Linked DNA regions of Saccharomyces cerevisiae S288C. The protein of the gene in region 1 purifies or fractionates together with the protein of each later gene. This does not show direct contact. Each region holds a gene or a part of one and is shown on either strand. Other genes may lie near its edges.

What was found. Proteins that work in one complex are often made in the same cells at the same time.
Region 2: the proteins of SEC21 (region 1) and EMP47 purify together in Saccharomyces cerevisiae (affinity purification with western blotting; 2 studies listed by BioGRID, with this or other methods). This does not show direct contact.
Region 3: the proteins of SEC21 (region 1) and SEC26 purify together in Saccharomyces cerevisiae (affinity purification with mass spectrometry; 4 studies listed by BioGRID). This does not show direct contact.

The regions. Positions count from the first base shown.
Region 1 is NC_001146.8:89,127-95,910, forward strand, and holds SEC21 (coatomer subunit gamma), read left to right. Parts: upstream 1-2,867; coding exon 2,868-5,675; downstream 5,676-6,784. Other genes in the region: CCR4-NOT core subunit CAF40, read left to right, coding at 1,177-2,298; U2 snRNP complex subunit CUS2, read left to right, coding at 6,097-6,784. UniProt on the Saccharomyces cerevisiae protein: The coatomer is a cytosolic protein complex that binds to dilysine motifs and reversibly associates with Golgi non-clathrin-coated vesicles, which further mediate biosynthetic protein transport from the ER, via the Golgi up to the trans Golgi network.
Region 2 is NC_001138.5:37,477-42,700, forward strand, and holds EMP47 (Emp47p), read right to left. Parts: upstream 2,705-5,224; coding exon 1,367-2,704; downstream 1-1,366. Other genes in the region: SWP82 (Swp82p), read left to right, coding at 1-1,198; GTPase-activating protein RGD2, read left to right, coding at 2,945-5,089. UniProt on the Saccharomyces cerevisiae protein: Involved in the secretion of glycoproteins and in nucleus architecture and gene silencing. Required for the endoplasmic reticulum exit of EMP46.
Region 3 is NC_001136.10:936,529-943,464, forward strand, and holds SEC26 (coatomer subunit beta), read right to left. Parts: upstream 4,289-6,936; coding exon 1,367-4,288; downstream 1-1,366. Other genes in the region: mitochondrial 54S ribosomal protein uL5m MRPL7, read left to right, coding at 87-965; YDR239C (uncharacterized protein), read right to left, coding at 4,529-6,892. UniProt on the Saccharomyces cerevisiae protein: The coatomer is a cytosolic protein complex that binds to dilysine motifs and reversibly associates with Golgi non-clathrin-coated vesicles, which further mediate biosynthetic protein transport from the ER, via the Golgi up to the trans Golgi network.

The DNA of each region.
Region 1 (6,784 bases):
TCAAAGGCGTTAACATTTTGTTTCGTAATAGTACCTTAACACATGACGAAGATGAAAATTAAACATGAATTCAAGGAAAAATGGTAAATGACGAGAAAAAAGCTGTGCACCAGTCTGAACATGGATGCCACAAGTACTCAGGTGTCCTATGAAGCATTAAGTATACCCAAATTTCTGATCCATTTTCCTTTATTTTCTTTTTTTTTTTTCTCTCACATCTGTGACTGTATTATGAGCAAACTGTTTACGTTGAACGGAATCGATATGTAAATTAAATCTTTTGAAATATGTAGGACAGTGCTTGTATAGGTCTGTTAAGTAGATTATAGAATGTACGCCTTTTTTCTGGGCGTGAAATAGATCAGAAATCCTGTTAGGTTGCCACTGGTCCATTTCAGTGTTGCTCATCCAATCAATCATGTATTTACATGCCTGGAGTGGCCTATTCTATGTATTAACAGCCTTTGCAAGACGCGACATTGTTCTTTCCGATATGGCTCGGAGTAGACTAAATATGCTACTTATAGTTTTTCTTGCGTATACCATTGTCTTATAGTTTTTGCACACATTAATGTTTAAAATTGAAACTACGAAGCAAAACAATAAAAAAAACAAACAAAACTTAAAAATAAACAAAAGACGCTCGAAACCAAGTGCATTTATTGAATGTTTTTGGGAATGCAAGTAGCAATACTATTGTAAAAGTACTACTATTTCCCTGTATCATACGCTTTTACTACTATTCCTCACATAAAGCGAGATGCTTACAGAATGCATAAGAGAGAGAAGAAAACCCTATTACGCCCACTTGTCTATATTAGATTACTGTCCCTATTTATATCATCATTGCAAAACGTGAGCACCTCATTAGACGTAGATTCTTGCATAAGTATTACTAGCAGGAGAGGAAAAACTCCACCCACACACCTCAACATGCTGAGAATTTTGCTGCGAGCAGCAAGAGGCAAAATCCAAATTTAAAGTAATTTACGCATAGAAGACATTGTAAAGGGATTGCAAAGACGTAGAGTACGCAAGTTAGAAACCGTTCATCTTTTAAAACTCCCAAGTTTTGACAAATTTGCGAGTGTGTGTGTTTCTGCTGATCTTGACGAGATTAAACTTTGTTCCTGAAGCAACAACGACAGCAACTGAACATCCTCTGAATAAGTTAATATGTTTTCCGCTCAAAAGCCAATATATGGCAATGGAGCAGGCGTGAACATGGGTGGTGGTGGTCCTTCAACTAATAATCCAGGATCTATGTCCATGCCTGGGGTTCCAACTTCAATGGGTCCAGGCATGAATCAACAAATTCCAAGTGGAGGCCCCATGCTAATGGGCAATACTCCGAATAATAATAATAGCAATGAAAATGGCGAGAACAACGGCAATAACGGCAATAACGGCGGTAACGATGCTAACGCAACTCGAAACAATCCCAACATGGTCAATAATAGAGGCGCAGTGCATGCTCTAGATGATCCCAATGTATACCACTGGATTTGTCAATTGACCTACGGCCCTCAAAAGGAACAAGCACTGCTTGAATTAGGTCGCAAAAGAGAACAGTTTGATGACCTTGCCGTTGTGCTTTGGTCTTCCTTTGGTGTAATGACCTCATTGCTGAACGAAATCATTTCCGTATATCCCATGCTGCAACCTCAGATGCTCTCTAACAATCTATCAAATCGTGTATGCAACGCTCTAGTTCTTCTACAGTGTGTTGCATCTCACCCAGAGACAAAACATCTCTTTTTACAGGCCCATATTCCTCTCTTTCTTTTCCCCTTCCTAAATACTACCTCCAGGCAAAGAACTTTTGAGTACTTGAGATTGACTTCATTAGGTGTGATAGGCGCATTGGTCAAAAATGACTCACAAGACGTAATAACGTTTTTGCTAAGAACCGATATCGTGCCGTTATGCCTAAGGATCATGGAATCTTCTTCTGAGCTTTCCAAGACAGTCGCCATTTTCATTTTACAGAAAATCCTACTAGATGACGTTGGATTGCAATACATCTGTGCCACCTTGGAAAGGTTCTACGCCGTAACTAATGTCTTAAAAGATATGGTTGAGCACTTGACCGTGAGCACACCACCGGGACGACTACTGAAACATATCATTAGATGCTACTTAAGATTAAGCGACGATCTCGAAGCACGCAGGCTATTGAAAATAGTCTTACCTGCCAAACTGAGAGATAACACTTTTACGGAAGTACTAAGAGACGACGTCGGGTCCAAGAGATGTCTGGCACAATTGCTACTGACATTAAACGAAGAAACCTCATGATGCATCCCCATAGATATATTACTGTTTTTCTCTTTCTATTTTCCTGTATTGTTTTAACCTTGCCTTTTTGTTTTAGTTTCACTTCCTCACCTCTCCTAATTTTGTATAGTTATATTTATATGCATGAAATGTATAAAGTCCACTCATATTTCAGAATGGTTTAAGTTAAGTGCCAGAAGGTTCTTCTGTACTATTACTATTACCCATTTTTCATCCTATCACCCGGAATGTACCCCTTGTGTCATTCACTACGACGCCACGAACCACGATTCTATTTTTTTCGAAATCTAAAGGTTTCGTCAAGATCAATGAAATATACATAGGCGTTTTTTTGGATACGAGTTGCATTGTTGAGAACACAATTCTTTACAAATAAGTGCAAGGGAGGAATTGTGTGTGCTCATTACCAACGTACTTCTTCAGTTATTCTGCTAAACCCGTTTTTTTGTTCTTAGCTTCATCCAGGTGAGCCCGCAAACATTACAGAACGACGTATAATACAAAATAACTAAACAAATACGGATAGGACAAAAGCCAAGAAGCGATACTAAATCACAGAGCGAATCAACATGTCTGCACATACTTACAAAAAGTTTGAAAACTCGACCTCGGGCGATTTACCTGATAAAATGACCATTTATCAGGATTGTATGAACACGTTTAACGAATCACCTGTCAATTCCAAGAGATGTCGTTTATTGATTTCTCGCTTGCTGAGACTCTTGGCCCAGGGCGAAACCTTCCCACAGAATGAAGCAACTGCATTATTTTTCTCTATCTCCAAATTATTTCAACACCAGAACGATCCTTTAAGGCAGGCTGTTTATTTGGCAATCAAGGAATTGAGTGGCATTTCGGAGGATGTGTTGATGGCAACCTCTTCAATCATGAAGGACGTTCAAAACGGTTCCGATTTGATTAAGCCTGACGCTATTAGATCGCTGACTTATGTCTTGGATGAATCTACTGCTTTTTCCGCTGAAAGGTTATTAAAAAGTGCCGTGGTAAGTAGACATCCTTCAATATCCTCAGCAGCATTATGTACTTCTTATCATTTGCTGCCCATTTCAGAAGTCACTATCAGAAGATTCACCAATGAAACTCAAGAAGCTGTTTTGGATTTGAAACAATTTCCAAATCAACACGGTAATAGCGAATATTATCCAAACTCCACTTATATTTCTCAATATCATGCTCTTGGGTTGCTTTATCAACTGAAGAAAACTGATAAAATGGCGTTACTAAAATTGGTTAGACATTTCTCTGAAAACAATTCTATGAAAAATCAATTGGCCAAGGTAGAATTGGTCAAGATTGTCAACGATTTGATTTATAGGGATCCTCAATTATTTAGTCAATTCAGGCCACTTTTGTCTGATTGGCTATCCAACAAGTTCGAATCTGTTCAGTTGGAAACGGCGAAATTGATTACTTCTTTCGCTACTCGCAATTCCCGCTTAGTGGCTCCCGAGTTATATGCGGCAGCTATCAGTGCTTTACAGTCCTTACTGACCGTTCCTCGTGTTTCTTCTAGATTCGCTGCATTGAGAATCTTAAATAGAATATCCATGGTTTCACCAGAAAAGATTGTTGTTTGTAATCCTGAACTAGAATCTTTAATTAATGATTCTAATAGAAACATTTCTACTTATGCAATCACCACTTTATTGAAGACAGGAACTTCCAAAAATATTTCATCTCTGATTTCGACTATTACTAATTTTATCCATGATGTCAGTGATGACTTTAAGATCATTATTATTGACGCCGTTCGTACGTTGTCTTTGAACTTCCCACAGGAATGGAAGTCAATTTTGAACTTCTTAATCGATGTTTTGAAAAATAGTGAAGGTGGATTCAAATTTAAAAACAGTATTGTCGAAGCATTAATCGATATTGTTTCATTTGTTCCACAGTCTAAAGAACTCGCCTTAGAAAACTTGTGTGATTTCATCGAGGATTGTGAATTCAACGAAATACTAGTGAGAATACTACATCTTTTGGGTAAAGAAGGTCCATCTGCCCCAAATCCATCATTATATGTTAGACATATTTATAACAGAGTGGTGTTGGAAAATTCTATTATTAGATCTGCTGCCGTTGTAGCTTTATCTAAGTTTGCTTTGACGAAGAACGATCCTACCTTATATGAGTCAATCATAAGTTTGTTAAAGAGAATCGCTAATGATAAAGACGATGAAGTCAGAGACAGAGCCACCATTGCACTAGAATTCATTGATTCGGCTAGGAATAAAGATGATGTTATAGCACAAAATCTAATCGAATCCAAATATTTTTACGATATTCCATCATTAGAGTCAAAATTAAGTTCTTACATTTCCTCAAATACTGATTCATTTGCAACTGCATTTGATGTGAATCAAGTTCGTAAGTTTACTGAGGATGAAATGAAGGCAATAAATCTGAAGAGAAAGCAAGAACAAATTTTCAATCAAAAGTCTGAAACCACTTTGGATACTACACCAGAGGCAGAGAGTGTTCCAGAAAAAAGAGCTGACGCTAATTCATTTGCTGGTCCAAACTTGGACGACCACCAAGAAGATCTACTAGCTACTAAGTACGCTGACGAATTGCTATCCATTGAACAAATTAAACCATTTGGTCAATTAGTAAATAGTTCTAGGGCTATCTCATTAACTGAGCCAGAAGCAGAATTCGTTGTACGTGGTGTCAAACATCTCTTCAAAGACAATGTTGTTTTACAATTTAATATTACGAATACTCTGACGGATATTGCCCTAGACAATGTTTCTGTAGTCTGTACCCCTGAAATTTCTGATGAAGCTGAATTAGAAGAGCTATTCACCCTACAAGTGGACAGATTATTACCATCCGAGGAAGCAGCTTGTTACGTTGCATTCAAAAAACTTGATGAAATTGTAATGGAAGGTTTCTTGAACAACTTAACATTCACTACAAAAGAAATAAACCCTGACACTAATGAGCCATTTGATGGTGATGAAGGTTTCCAAGATGAATATGAAATTGACTCGATTTTCTTGAATGCTGGTGATTATGTTAAGAGTTCTTTCACTGGTAACTTCTCCGCTACATTTGATGAGTTGCCATGCGAAGAAGTTGCTGTTTTCAACATTCAAGAAGATTTATCCATACAAGAAGTAGTAGATAAGATTATTTTGAACAGTAGCTGCTTACCGGTGGAAAGTACCCAATTTGCTCCAAGTGATTCAAACTCCCACACCTTGAAATTATTTGGTAAGAGTGCTTTAACTGGATCTAAAGTAGCCCTACAGATTAAGATGATCAAGAGTTCGAAAGGTCTTGCTTTGAAAGTTCATGGTAAAGGTGAAGACAGCTTATTATGCTCTGATCTGGTGAATGGTCTAATGCAGTAAGCTGTGAAATTTTATTTCAGTTAATCCCTTCTTTTGTTATCAATAGTATTAAAAGAAATGCGTCAGCTTTAGCAAGCGTGCATGCAAATAAGGGAATGAACAGCAAGAACAATAATAAACCAAAAAAATCACGGATAGAATATGACGGATCATCACCACACGAAGAATAAATTATGTAATCTTTGTATAAACAAAATTTTTAAAGAAAAATACTATAATAGTTTGACAAGAGAAAACGAAATGGAAGAAACAGGACAACAGGGCAGAAAAAAGTTGACATTATGCAATTGATGAAAGAAGAAGAAGAAAAAAAACAAAAAAAAAGCACTAGTCTGACCAGGCATATTGTAAAAGGCTGCAGACCCTTGAACGCACTACACTTTTCACTGTATTCCGTTACCAACATTACTGTTTGACAGCGATGGATGCTGATGAATTGGAATTGAAAGGTCATTTGAAAAAATTGAAAAAAGAAGAATTGCTTAGAAGGAAACAGTTAAAAGAGAGTAATCTTCAGAAAAGAGAGCTTGAATATAATAATGCCTCAAAAAATACTTCAATATATATTTCTGGTCTTCCCACAGACAAAACAACGAAAGAAGGACTCACTGAGCAGTTTTGCAAGTATGGAATGATAAGAACCAATCGAGATGGGGAACCCCTTTGCAAGCTATATGTGAATGATAAAGGCGCTTTCAAAGGGGATGCCTTGATCACTTATTCCAAGGAAGAAAGTGTTACATTAGCAATCGAAATGATGAACGAGTCGATCTTCCTGGGAAAACAGATCAGGGTCGAAAGAGCCCAATTTCAAAACAAGGAAGGTGACAATATGCACGGGAAAGAAAATGATTTAAAGGAGTTCAACGGACCTGAGCCTCCAATAAAGAGGCTAAAAAAAGCGAAGTCTGAAGGGGAGGGGGAAGTAATAGATTACAATGACGATGAAAGCCTAGCAAAAGCTGATCGAACGGTGATATTTGCCAACGTATTCAATATTTACAAATCATACACAAATGATGATATAAATGATATTCAGGAAGATCTTTTGGAAGGCTGTGAAGAGATAGGTCAAGTAGACAGTATATCTGTATCTCCCAATAAGGGGG
Region 2 (5,224 bases), on another chromosome or scaffold:
GGTTTTCAAATTATCAACAAATTTAATTTCTAAAATCTCACTTTTACGCCCCTCCTTCCAAAATAACAGGATTAGCAATGCCAATGAAATTAGTGCGAACACTAATAATACCTGTACGATTTCTACTTCAAAATTCGAATCACAGTATCCAATAGTCACGGAACAACCGTCAGCGGAGATTAGAGAAGCCTATATTGAAAACTTTGCCAAAGGTGAGCACATTTCGGCAATTGTTCCTGGTCAAAGCATTAGTGGAACATTGGAACTCAGTGCACAATTTAGAGTACCGCGTTATCACAGCAAAAACTCATTTCAACAAGCTCTGCAAATGAAGGCAATGGACATACCAATCGGAAGACATGAAGAATTACTTGCGCAATATGAAAGTCAAGCTCCTGATGGTTCCGCTTCAATTTCACTTCCTAACCATATTCCATCTGTCAATCCTAGCAATAAACCAATCAAACGAATGCTAAGTAGCATTCTTGATATTAACGTTTCCTCATCAAAAAACAAGAAGTCTGAGGAGAACGAAATGATAAAACCCATGAACAAGGGCCAACACAAAAATAATACATCGTTAAACATAAACGGCTGGAAATTTGAATCTTTGCCATTAAAATCCGCCGAGAATTCAGGTAAACAGCAATATTATAGAGGATTGCCGTTATATGAAAAAAACACGCTGCTAGAAAGGTTGAAACAGCTGACACCGAACGAAATTAAAGAACTAGAGCATTTACACGATGCCGTTTTTGTTAATACCGGTTTGCAGAACGTTAGAAAAGTTAGGACAAAAAAATGGAAAAAGTACTGGCAGTACAAGGCAGGTATTCCTATCGGTTTGAAACGGTCTCAATTGGATGAATTCAAAAATAAATATTTGAAAGATGTGTTGGCGCAAACGAGTGTTACTACAAATTTTAACGAAATAACGAATACGGATGAAACAATAACAACAAAGAGGGTACCGAACCCAAACTTCCTAGGAAATTGTAACATTAAGGATTTTAAACCTCCATACATTTATTCTCATGTGAACAAAGTACCACAAAATGTCGCTGGGGATAAAACGGCTGTTAAGCTGGACACTGAAGTAAAGAACACAAATGCTAATCCAGTGGTGGCGACGGATCCGGTCGCCGCTAAACCGGACAACCTGGCTAACTTCAGCAACGAAGTAGCTATGAATAATTGAAAGAAGTAAAACATAATGTAGGGAACACTCCAATAAGAAATAAACCATTGTTGAAGTAGTAATATAAACTATCGTTCGTTATTTTATAAAATATGTATTGTTACATATATATACATATATAGGGAATGCATGTGCACAATTGGTTTGAGTGGAAGGAATAATCCAAAATCATAGCAGTTTGGTCTTTATGATCTCTTGTCTGATTCTGAATGTGTAATATGCCATAACCAACATAATGAAAATTAATGGAAGTAACCAAATCATTAGTTTTCTGGCAATTTCGTCGACCTGAGGACCATCTTGTCCATGACGTTTGGTAGCTTCCCTATACTTTTCTTGTTCAACCAGGACTTTCTCCAATTTCTGATTGATTGATAAGAAGTCTTTGAAATTTTCTTTATCCTCAGCGATTGCATCATCGGTGGACGTTCCCTTTTCATTATTAGCTGGTGGCTTAGAAGAGAGCTGTTTAGTTATCGTAGTCATGAATGATAATAGCTCTTGTTGGACCTTAATGACATCATTTAGCTTTGTTTCTAAAGCATTGATATCGTTCGCAAGAATTTTACCTTCAACTCTATCCAGTTTCTTATACAATTCATAGTTTGTAATTTTGTCTTTGTCAGCGTCAAATGCTGTTTTTTCAATCAATTTTTCTTTGCCGGTTTGTTGGTCAATGTATTTGGTGATCAGTTTTGGCTGACCCATTGCATTCACATTAGGGATCAAAGAATCTTCAATCACGCCATTAAAAAATTGCATTTTGAATATTTCAAAAGACTCTGCATTATTATTCACTGCTCCATTTTGAGCGGTGACACCAATACGGTAAGACCCAGAGGGAAAGCGAACCTTCCTAGTTTGGAAACAGACTTTATTGTCCACCTGAACTTTTAATAAGTTGTCGTCTTCCAAATCATAAGTTACTCTGATCGTGGAAGGAACGGAGGAATCCTGATAACCCATCAAACAAGATGCAAAACTCTGATCATAGATTTTCGTCTTATCTACAGGCTTTTGACCATCATTTAGTTGACCACGAAGTGTTGGGCCCAATGGACCATTGTTATCCACTAATAATTGTAAACCATCATAGTTCACTGGCCCATTGTATAACTGCTTATCGCGTGGTACGTTAGAATCTTGAACAAACCAAAATGATATGCCACCGTCGGTTTGGCCAGAATAACCAACACTCCTAAATGTCCACTCCATAGTAAAAGAATCCTTCAAATCGAATCCTTGCTTCAACCAAAGTGAACCCTTGGAATTTTGCTTAGAAGTCAATACAATTCTCCCTTCCTCTAGACTAGCTTGTTCTCCAGTTTGCCAGTTATTGGGCACTTTACGTGCATTAATGAGATCAGGGAGCGAGTAGTCTGAGCTTAATTTGGATGCATCTGAAGTGTCACCCAATGGATGAGCTTCTAGCAATCCAGCCCATGTCGCTAAGACGGTAAAAACACTCAACAGTACTGTACTTTTCATAGTAATTAACATCATCATAAAATACAAATTCCCTGATGCTAACTATTTGTTAATTTTATTGGTATAATTATAATTATTCAATACCAATTAAGGCTTCTATTAAAAGATCAAAAACATTCTTAAGAGTTCATACTGTTTCTCTACTCGTGTATAGTGATACCAAGACGTAATGACAATAATAGATGGAAATTGAAATATTATGAAACAGGAATAATATTCCGTTGAATTGTAATAGATGTTGTACACCTGCAAGCGAGCATGCTATCATTTTGCGACTATTTTTGGTCTGAAGACCTTGTCTCAGGTCTAGATGTGCTTTTTGATAGATTATACCATGGTTGTGAGCAATGCGACTTGTTCATTCAATTATTTGCGTCAAGAATGCAATTTGAAGTCAGTCACGGGAGGCAGTTGTTTGGTATAGAAGCCGGTATGGACAATCTGAAGGCAGTGCAGGAAGATGAAGATGAAGGGGTGACAGTTTCGAGGGCCCTGAGGGGAATTCTACAGGAAATGTCTCAGGAAGGGACGCATCACTTGACAATAGCGTCGAACATAGAAAGTTTGGTGCTGCAGCCATTCAGTAAATGGTGCATAGAACATAGGGAGAGAATTCAATACTCCGAGAAGACTTTGTTGACCAATGTAAATAATTTCAGGAAGTCTAAAAAGTACGTCGGTAAGCTGGAGAAGGAATATTTTAATAAATGTAGGCAGCTAGAAGAATTTAAAAGAACTCATTTCAACGAAGATGAGCTAGCAAATGCAATGAAATCATTGAAAATACAAAATAAATACGAAGAAGATGTGGCCAGGGAAAAGGATCACAGATTTTTCAACAGGATAGCGGGAATAGATTTTGATTATAAGACAATGAAGGAGACGCTTCAGCTGTTACTGACCAAGCTTCCTAAAACGGACTATAAGCTACCTCTCATTAGTTATTCTTTGAGCAACACCAACAATGGTGGAGAAATAACGAAGTTTCTGCTTGACCACATGTCGTTAAAGGATATTGATCAAGCTGAAACGTTTGGCCAAGATTTGTTGAATTTAGGGTTTTTGAAATATTGCAACGGTGTTGGTAATACATTTGTCAACTCTAAAAAATTTCAATACCAATGGAAGAATACCGCGTACATGTTTGCCAATGTGCCAATGCCCGGTTCAGAGGAGCCTACCACTGGTGAATCCTTAATATCCCGGTTCAACAACTGGGATGGTTCATCTGCAAAGGAAATTATTCAATCCAAGATTGGTAACGACCAGGGGGCAGCGAAGATCCAAGCTCCGCATATATCCGATAATGAAAGGACGCTTTTCAGAATGATGGATGCGCTTGCAGCGTCAGATAAGAAGTATTACCAGGAGTGCTTCAAGATGGATGCCTTGAGATGCTCGGTTGAGGAGTTGTTGATTGACCATTTGTCGTTTATGGAAAAATGTGAGTCCGATAGACTGAATGCGATCAAGAAAGCGACACTAGATTTTTGTTCTACCTTGGGTAACAAGATTTCTTCGTTAAGACTGTGCATAGATAAAATGCTCACGCTAGAAAACGATATTGATCCCACTGCAGACCTTTTGCAACTTTTAGTTAAGTACAAGACGGGCAGTTTCAAGCCGCAAGCCATTGTTTATAATAATTACTACAATCCTGGTTCATTTCAAAACTTTGGTGTTGATCTAGAAACTCGTTGTAGACTAGACAAGAAAGTCGTTCCGTTGATAATTTCTTCGATATTCTCATATATGGACAAAATATATCCTGACTTACCTAATGATAAAGTAAGAACTTCAATTTGGACTGATTCGGTGAAATTAAGTTTAACACATCAGCTTCGAAACCTATTGAACAAACAACAGTTCCACAACGAAGGGGAAATATTTGATATACTTTCTACGTCCAAGTTGGAGCCAAGCACCATCGCCAGTGTTGTTAAAATTTATTTATTAGAATTACCAGACCCACTAATTCCCAATGATGTCTCTGATATTCTTCGGGTGCTTTACCTTGACTATCCACCTTTAGTTGAAACTGCGTTGCAAAATTCTACATCATCTCCCGAGAATCAGCAGGACGATGACAACGAAGAAGGCTTTGATACCAAGAGAATAAGAGGCCTTTATACTACTCTGTCCTCTCTAAGCAAACCACACATAGCGACACTAGACGCTATTACAACTCATTTTTACAGATTAATTAAAATTCTGAAAATGGGAGAGAACGGTAATGAAGTAGCAGATGAGTTTACCGTCTCAATTTCACAAGAATTTGCCAATTGTATTATCCAGTCAAAGATCACCGATGATAATGAAATTGGTTTTAAGATTTTCTATGATCTACTGACACATAAGAAACAGATTTTTCACGAATTGAAAAGGCAAAATTCAAAAAATTAGGACTAGGCGATATAGATTTGTATATAATTTTATATAAAAGGAAATATGTACATCATTTTCTTTCACTGTAGGCAGCTGTTTCAAGTTCTTTTTTTATTGGAGATATAATTATTTACATTATTGTTATAGAGGACA
Region 3 (6,936 bases), on another chromosome or scaffold:
ATAGACAGGACCGGAAATAGTGTAAATACTCTCCTTTGTTTTTTTAGTTGTACCACTTTGAAGAGGGCTCGAGATTCACGAACAAAATGCAAAGGTTTTCACTAGTCACTCACAGATCATTCTCTCACTCCTGTGTGAAGCCCAAATCTGCATGCTCTTTGGTCAAACCAGTTCATCACTTGGTGAAAATTGATAAGTCAAAGTTATCCCCTAGATTTCCAGAATTGAAATATGACAAAAGTGATATTAGGTCACCTGGATTTAAACCAAAAGACACTCATGCAGATAGACTCAATGACCATTACCTTAACACTTTACAATCTGATTTGTTATTGATTAATTATTCACATAACGCTGCGGTGGTAAAGGGTCTAAAACAAAGAGCGTGGAGTGGTGATTCGCCATACCACTTGAACAGACCACCGAAAAATCCTCGAGGTTCGAAAGCTCAACTACCTGACATTCATCCTATCAAATGGAGTAACATTCCTGGGCTAGAAAGTGTTGTAATAAACTGTTTTGTTAGGGAAGCGAGAGAAAATCAGCTATTGGCTATCACCGCTGCGTTACAATTACAACAAATTACTGGATGTAAACCTCATCCAATTTTTTCCAAAAATGATGTTCCAACCTGGAAACTGAGAAAAGGTCATCAGATGGGAGCTAAAGTCGAACTAAAGGGAAAAGAAATGTCTCAGTTCTTAAGCACATTGACCGAAATCGTCCTACCAAGAATCAGAGAATATAAAGGTATAAGCAACCAGTCTGGGAACAGATTTGGTGGGATTAGTTTCGGCCTGACGGCTGAAGATATCAAATTCTTCCCTGAAATCGATGCAAACCAGGACTCATGGCCTAAAACTTTTGGTATGCACATAAATATAAACACCTCAGCTCAATTAGATTACCAGGCGAGAACTTTGTTGAGTGGGTTCCAGTTCCCATTTTTCGGAGAGGAGAAATAAGAATACAATCTCATGGTCCTGGCCAGTTAGCCATGCTCTATGGCAGAAAGGCAAAGGGCATATATAATTTCCCATTCGTCATGTAAATATATAAACTGTACAAGATACTATCTCTCTCCATTTTTCAATCATATAGTTCTCTTTGGGGCACTGAGATGTCTACAAATTGTTATAAAATTGGACGTCTCTTACACAACTCACAACTCAACTCTGTATAAAGATTTTTAGGAAAGAAAATGTACATAAAAGTGAATACTTGTTTAAAAATGAGAACAAAGATTCCTACGCAATTAAAATCTATTTAAAGATTTTCCTTATTTTTTTATTTCTTTTCGAATTTTTTAAGTTTTATTCTTATCTCCTTTGACATTATAACTTACATTGCATCAGCTCAGGGTGGTTCAAACATGAGTGAGAGCAAGTTTATTGGTCTTCTTAGCAATCAATGCCACTCTGTCACCTAGGGACAGAGCCAAACCTTGTCCCTTTGATCGGATACGAACATAACCTATGACATCATTGGTTTTGGAATCCTTTTCGATACACAAGTTGGCTAGGGCATCTTCACCAAAGGACGACTTCGCATACAGATTACAACTTAAGAACCTACAATCATCTTCTCCCAACGACTCTGATGGTGTTAGAATACCCATATTAGTTCCCTTGACCAGTTCTCTCAAATAAGCATGCAATGTTGGTAGTTGTGATTTGACCGATATTTTGTTCTCCCACTCAAATGCATTCCACATGGTACGGAAATGTTCATCGTCAGCAGTGGCTGGTTTGATATAATCCATAATGTCAACATGAACGTCGTTTAAAATAACATAACGAGCATCTTCACCATGCGCACCATCATAAATAATATTACCGAAAATGACACCTGTGTCAGCAGAGGAAACTTTGACAGTAACAGTGAATTTGTGGAAGCCATGAGGAATCACGTTGGTCTTCTGTGGTGTGTCAATAATCTTCAAATCACCAAGAGTTGCAAATTGCACATGTAGGTTTTTCAATGTTTCTTTCGTTTGATTAACAAGAAGAACATCTAATACGACGTCAAATTGATTGTTTGTAATACAAGCCTCGGCGTAAACTGGATCAGAAAAGCCACATAAAGGTACTATCTTCTTCAGCTTCGAAATACTAGAGCTGCTAGTAGCGTGGATTGCATCTCCTTTCATTGCCAGTTGTAAATCTTCTTCAATACTATCTTTTTGCACATTAGTAGAATCCACACCAGCAAATTGCCTGAAAGAAATCGGCGTATCAATTGGTTCGATGTTTTTGCAACTGTCTTTTAATGCTCTCTTATGCTTGTTCTTCTTTGCAATTTCAATTTGTCTCTTGAATGAGGATTTGGTGGTGTCCAGGAATGCAACCTCCAGAAGTTTAACTTCTTCCTTCTTTTCCTCAGGATTAACTTCATCCAATAAAATAGAAATAGATGTCATAACTCTCTCTAAAGAATCTTCATCAATTTTTTTCTCCACCAAAGAGCTTTGACCCACTCTTACAATACTAACTAAAATTAGTAAAGCTTCCGCCTTTAGAGCATTGATGACAGTTTTGTTCTTGGAAACGTTTTCGAATTTTAAAACAAGTTTAATGATGGTGTTGGCCAGAATGGCAGCTGTGTAGAAATCACCACTTAAAACAAACCGGCGAATTGGAGGTCTAGAATCACGTTCTTCATCGGTAACTGACTTTTGAGAAGTCTTCACATCGAAAGCGCTTTCAGTGGCATACGTACCGTCTGGTAGAATAACTGGACCAGTTGGCTTGGCGGTAGCGTCAACCTCATTTTCTTCGGTGTGTTCTTGGTTTTGTGTTAACTTTTTGATTTCTGATTGAAGGATAGGAACTTCACCTACGCTGTTACGAATGTGCTTCCAACAATGTTGTATCTCACTTTCTCCTTCAGCATACTCACCCATAATCCATAATGCACCGCGGTAAGCTTTAGCAGATCTCACTTTGTCTAGCGTTTGAACCATGTTTTCAAGGATATTGGCTCTAAGTTGTGGGTATTTTTCGATCACTTCTTTGATAAAGGCAATGATACCACTGGCGGCAACCGAGTTTAAATCACCGATGAAATCTAATAATAGCGAAACAACACTTGCTGCCATTTCTACAAAGTTTACAGCCACGGTACGAATAGTTTTTATTAACAATTGTCTGTACTGCATTGCCTTGTCTTGATCTGGGTTATTTACGGTTGTTTGCAGCTCTTTCTTCAAAAGCTGAACAACATCTTCAGCATTTCTGGATGTGGCCAAGTCCATTGAAATATCAAGCGCCTTTGAACGAACGTCTAAATCTTCTGCATTCAAGACTCTCAAAATATCCAGGGTTAACTCTTCCAAAGCACCTACGTTATTAGCATTGATGTCTTGAATACGGTCTAGAACAATTAACTTAATGTTATTATCAGAAACCTTGACGGCCAAGTCAATCAATTTGTTAACCGCAGGAACCAAGACATTTGGATTGGCAGACAACACAGTTAGGGCTAATGCGGTCTCGAAGATGACTTCATCGGAAGTCGTGGTCGAAAGCAGTTCCATCAATAATTCGATATATTGGGCTTTCAAAGCAGGGGTCCTGTTTGCATCTTGTCTGATAAATTGAACAAAGACAGCTTGTAATAAAGGGTCTAGGTTTTCTATATCAGCAATATTGTTCTCTAAATAGTGTAAGGCATTTTCACGATCTAATTCAGCTAACCCAATAAATGCATTTCTTTTACATATTGGATCAGTTTCAGCTACTATGAACGAATTGATGATTTCTTTAGCATCGGGAAGTAAATGTTCGCTGACCTTGAAAATGGAGAAAACTGCTAGGATTGCATACTTACGAACATATGCATGACGGTATTCCAAGCACGCTAAGACAGAGGGAACCATCTGTTCTAAGAGTTCGGCCTCTCTCAATTTCGTTAAAAACCTTAATGTGTTACCTCTAATATATTCATTAGGATGTTGCAAATCGTGTTGAATGGCATTACAGACAAGAATCATTTCATGTCTCAATTTTCCATCTTCAGCTAGTTTGGGAACAATTTCCCAGTAGAAGTACAAAAGCTTTTTTAATTCCTTATTTTTAGAAGGCATGACAAATCTTATTATGTGCATCAACAATTCAGGCATTGGATTTCCTTCCAGCATTGTAACTAAAATTGATTTCATCGTGTCAATTTTTTGTTCATCAGATCCCTTTTCAAGAGCTTTCTGAAAATCGGTACTCGAGTAAGTCTCCATACTCGGAGAAGGATCGAAAACCAACGTGTACGCTGGCTGTGAAGAAAGTGAAGTCATAGGTGCACTCTTGTTCAATAGTTAACTGTGATTACTTTTGTTTATTCTCAAGGCAATCTTAACTGAGTCTTAATGAACGTCAAATTTCACTTGTCGAGCTGTTGTTTTCTGATTTCTTTCTACGTGTAGCGAGTACACGGAAAGAAAAAAAAAACGAAGTGATAAGCTGGGTAATACTTTTCTAAAATGCTGTTCCATAAACGTACATATATGACATCTACAAAACTACAGAGAAGGATATCATTCTGGGTCTGAATCAGGGTTTGCCACACGCAAGCCATGCCCCAGAGAATAGCTGAGGTCTACCACATCAGAGTTCGTTGTGGAGACAGAGTCCTGACGCGATATATTACTTCTAGCATTAGCATCACGATAATCTTGAAGAGAGATATGTGTAGGAAGCTTTTGTCTGTTCACGTAATCATTATCCAGTGTTCCACTTCTCATTCTGTTCTGAGACCTTGTGTAGTAGCTGACTACCGTGTTAGATCTTGACACGGAATCAACAGAACCGTTTTGCCCTCTTTTTTCTCGTAAAGGCGCCATTATATCATCACTGTTATATGCTTCATCACCGGGTATGTCCTTGAGGTAGTCTTCGGCTTGTTCTGCGTCAGTGCCTTCTTTTTTTGAAATAGAGCCAGTTTCATTTTCCTTCCCTAACAATTTATGGAATTCCTTTGTGTGGTCAACATTGATTTTATTTTTCAGCCCTGTAGCGGTTCCATCTGATTCTTCATTTCTTGTCTCCAACGCCAGTAATTTCTGTTTAACTTTACCATGCTTGATACCAATTTGCTTAGAACTTGTCCTCAACTTGACCTTAATATTCTTGGGTTGAATCAAATTATTTTTTTGTTTTAGAGCAACCGGCAAGTTAGGAGGCGCTTGTAAAAAGTTAGAAGTCTTGTAATACTTTAGTCGCAGTTCTTCTACGTAACTAGAAACCAAAGGCACGGACTTTTCCGATTTGTTCGATACGACAGATGTTAACGGTGAACATTTGACAGATCTTTCGCTTGGGGCATCATGTACCGGATTTGGTAAATCCACCGTTGCAGGGATAGTAACTGTGTGTTCATTGAACGAGTGAGCAGCCGGCACTAAACTTTCTGAAATGGAGTTTAAACTGTTTAACTCGGATGTTTTATTTGATGATTTTGTGTTTCCGTTTGAGTCAAGAGCAGCCAAAACAGTTGATTTAGAGCCTTTTGATATAGAAAGTCCTGACTGGCTAGAGAAGTTTGACTTGGCATCATACTCACCAGATGATGCAGTGTCAAAAGAATGCTTGTCGGTTAGACTGCCCGTATCGTTTACACTATTTAAATAGAAACTAGGGCGATCTTCATTAACCACCCTAAATATTCTACGATGACTTGGTAACTCAGGCTCTTGTGTTGAGACGTCATTTTTTATAGATGAGCCTTGATCACTTGCGTAATTTATAAATGCTTTACTTTCACTATCCACAAAACCTTTTTCCTGAAGACCATCATCATCATCCTCGTTGGAAGAACCGCTATCAATCTCATTAGTTATCCGCAGAGGCTTTCTGGCGCTTGCAATACTTCCATCACTCCCAAGGTGCTCATTTGATTTATATGCAAAATCAAAATGTGCAGCTTTAAAACCACTAGATTCGTCTTTAGAAACTTGCTGAAGGCTTTTGGTGGATTTACCACTAGCCGATGTACTAAAGGAAAATTTATCATCCCCATCATCCAGATTCGAAGAAAATTCTTTTAGATGATCTGATTGTACTAAATTTCCGTTACTTGCTTTATTTACTTCTTCATTATCCACAATAAGTGGTTTTACGTAGCTTAAGGAACTCTCCGCGCTGACATTTCTCAAAATGGGAGCTTCCATGACATCTACTGGCAACTTATCTTGCGATGCTTTAGTATCTGAGTTTTCAGACGTGTCTAGGGATAGTGAGCTACCGGAACTTACCTTGTGTTCATTAATGTAATTTTCAATATCATCTACCAACTTTTCTGCTTCTGAACGCTGCCGCCTATGTTGATTGTGGGTGGATGAGATTGCAATACTATCCCGCTCAGAATCATTATTACTCTCTATTTCTTCCTTAGTAGTATTGTTGCTTATTGACGTTGTTATTGACTTCATGTCCATAGGCGGTGGTGGAGGCCTCGAACGTTTTATCTTGGAGAAATGTGCATTTGAATTTGCGCTTGTTGTGAAGGGGTTGGTTCTCTGCCCAATGATGTTGTTTTCTTGTAAATATTCAATTCCTTTGTGATCGTTTCCTGACGCTTCCTTGGACTGTGTTAATTCAAGAGAATCTCCTAAGGTATCCTCAGCATTCAAAAATGGATTAGTATTCTTTAATGTTTCCTTTTGTAATGGTGCCTGGATAGAATGGCTCCTGCTATGAGCATTCCTATTTGGACTTCTTGGCGGTATATCAGGGGCAGAAGTTTCAGCCGTCGAAGTTCGTGCGATATTTGTTGATTTCTTTATTGTAGAGGGCACCGATGGCTTTCTAACGGATTTTTCAGAGTCATTGTTTTTACTTTCAGAACCAAACCGAAAAAAAGACCTTCGTTTACCTTTATTGTTGCTAAAGCCATCAAACATCACTGTATTATTAGACTTTACCTGTAGACTCCTTCAAAACCTGT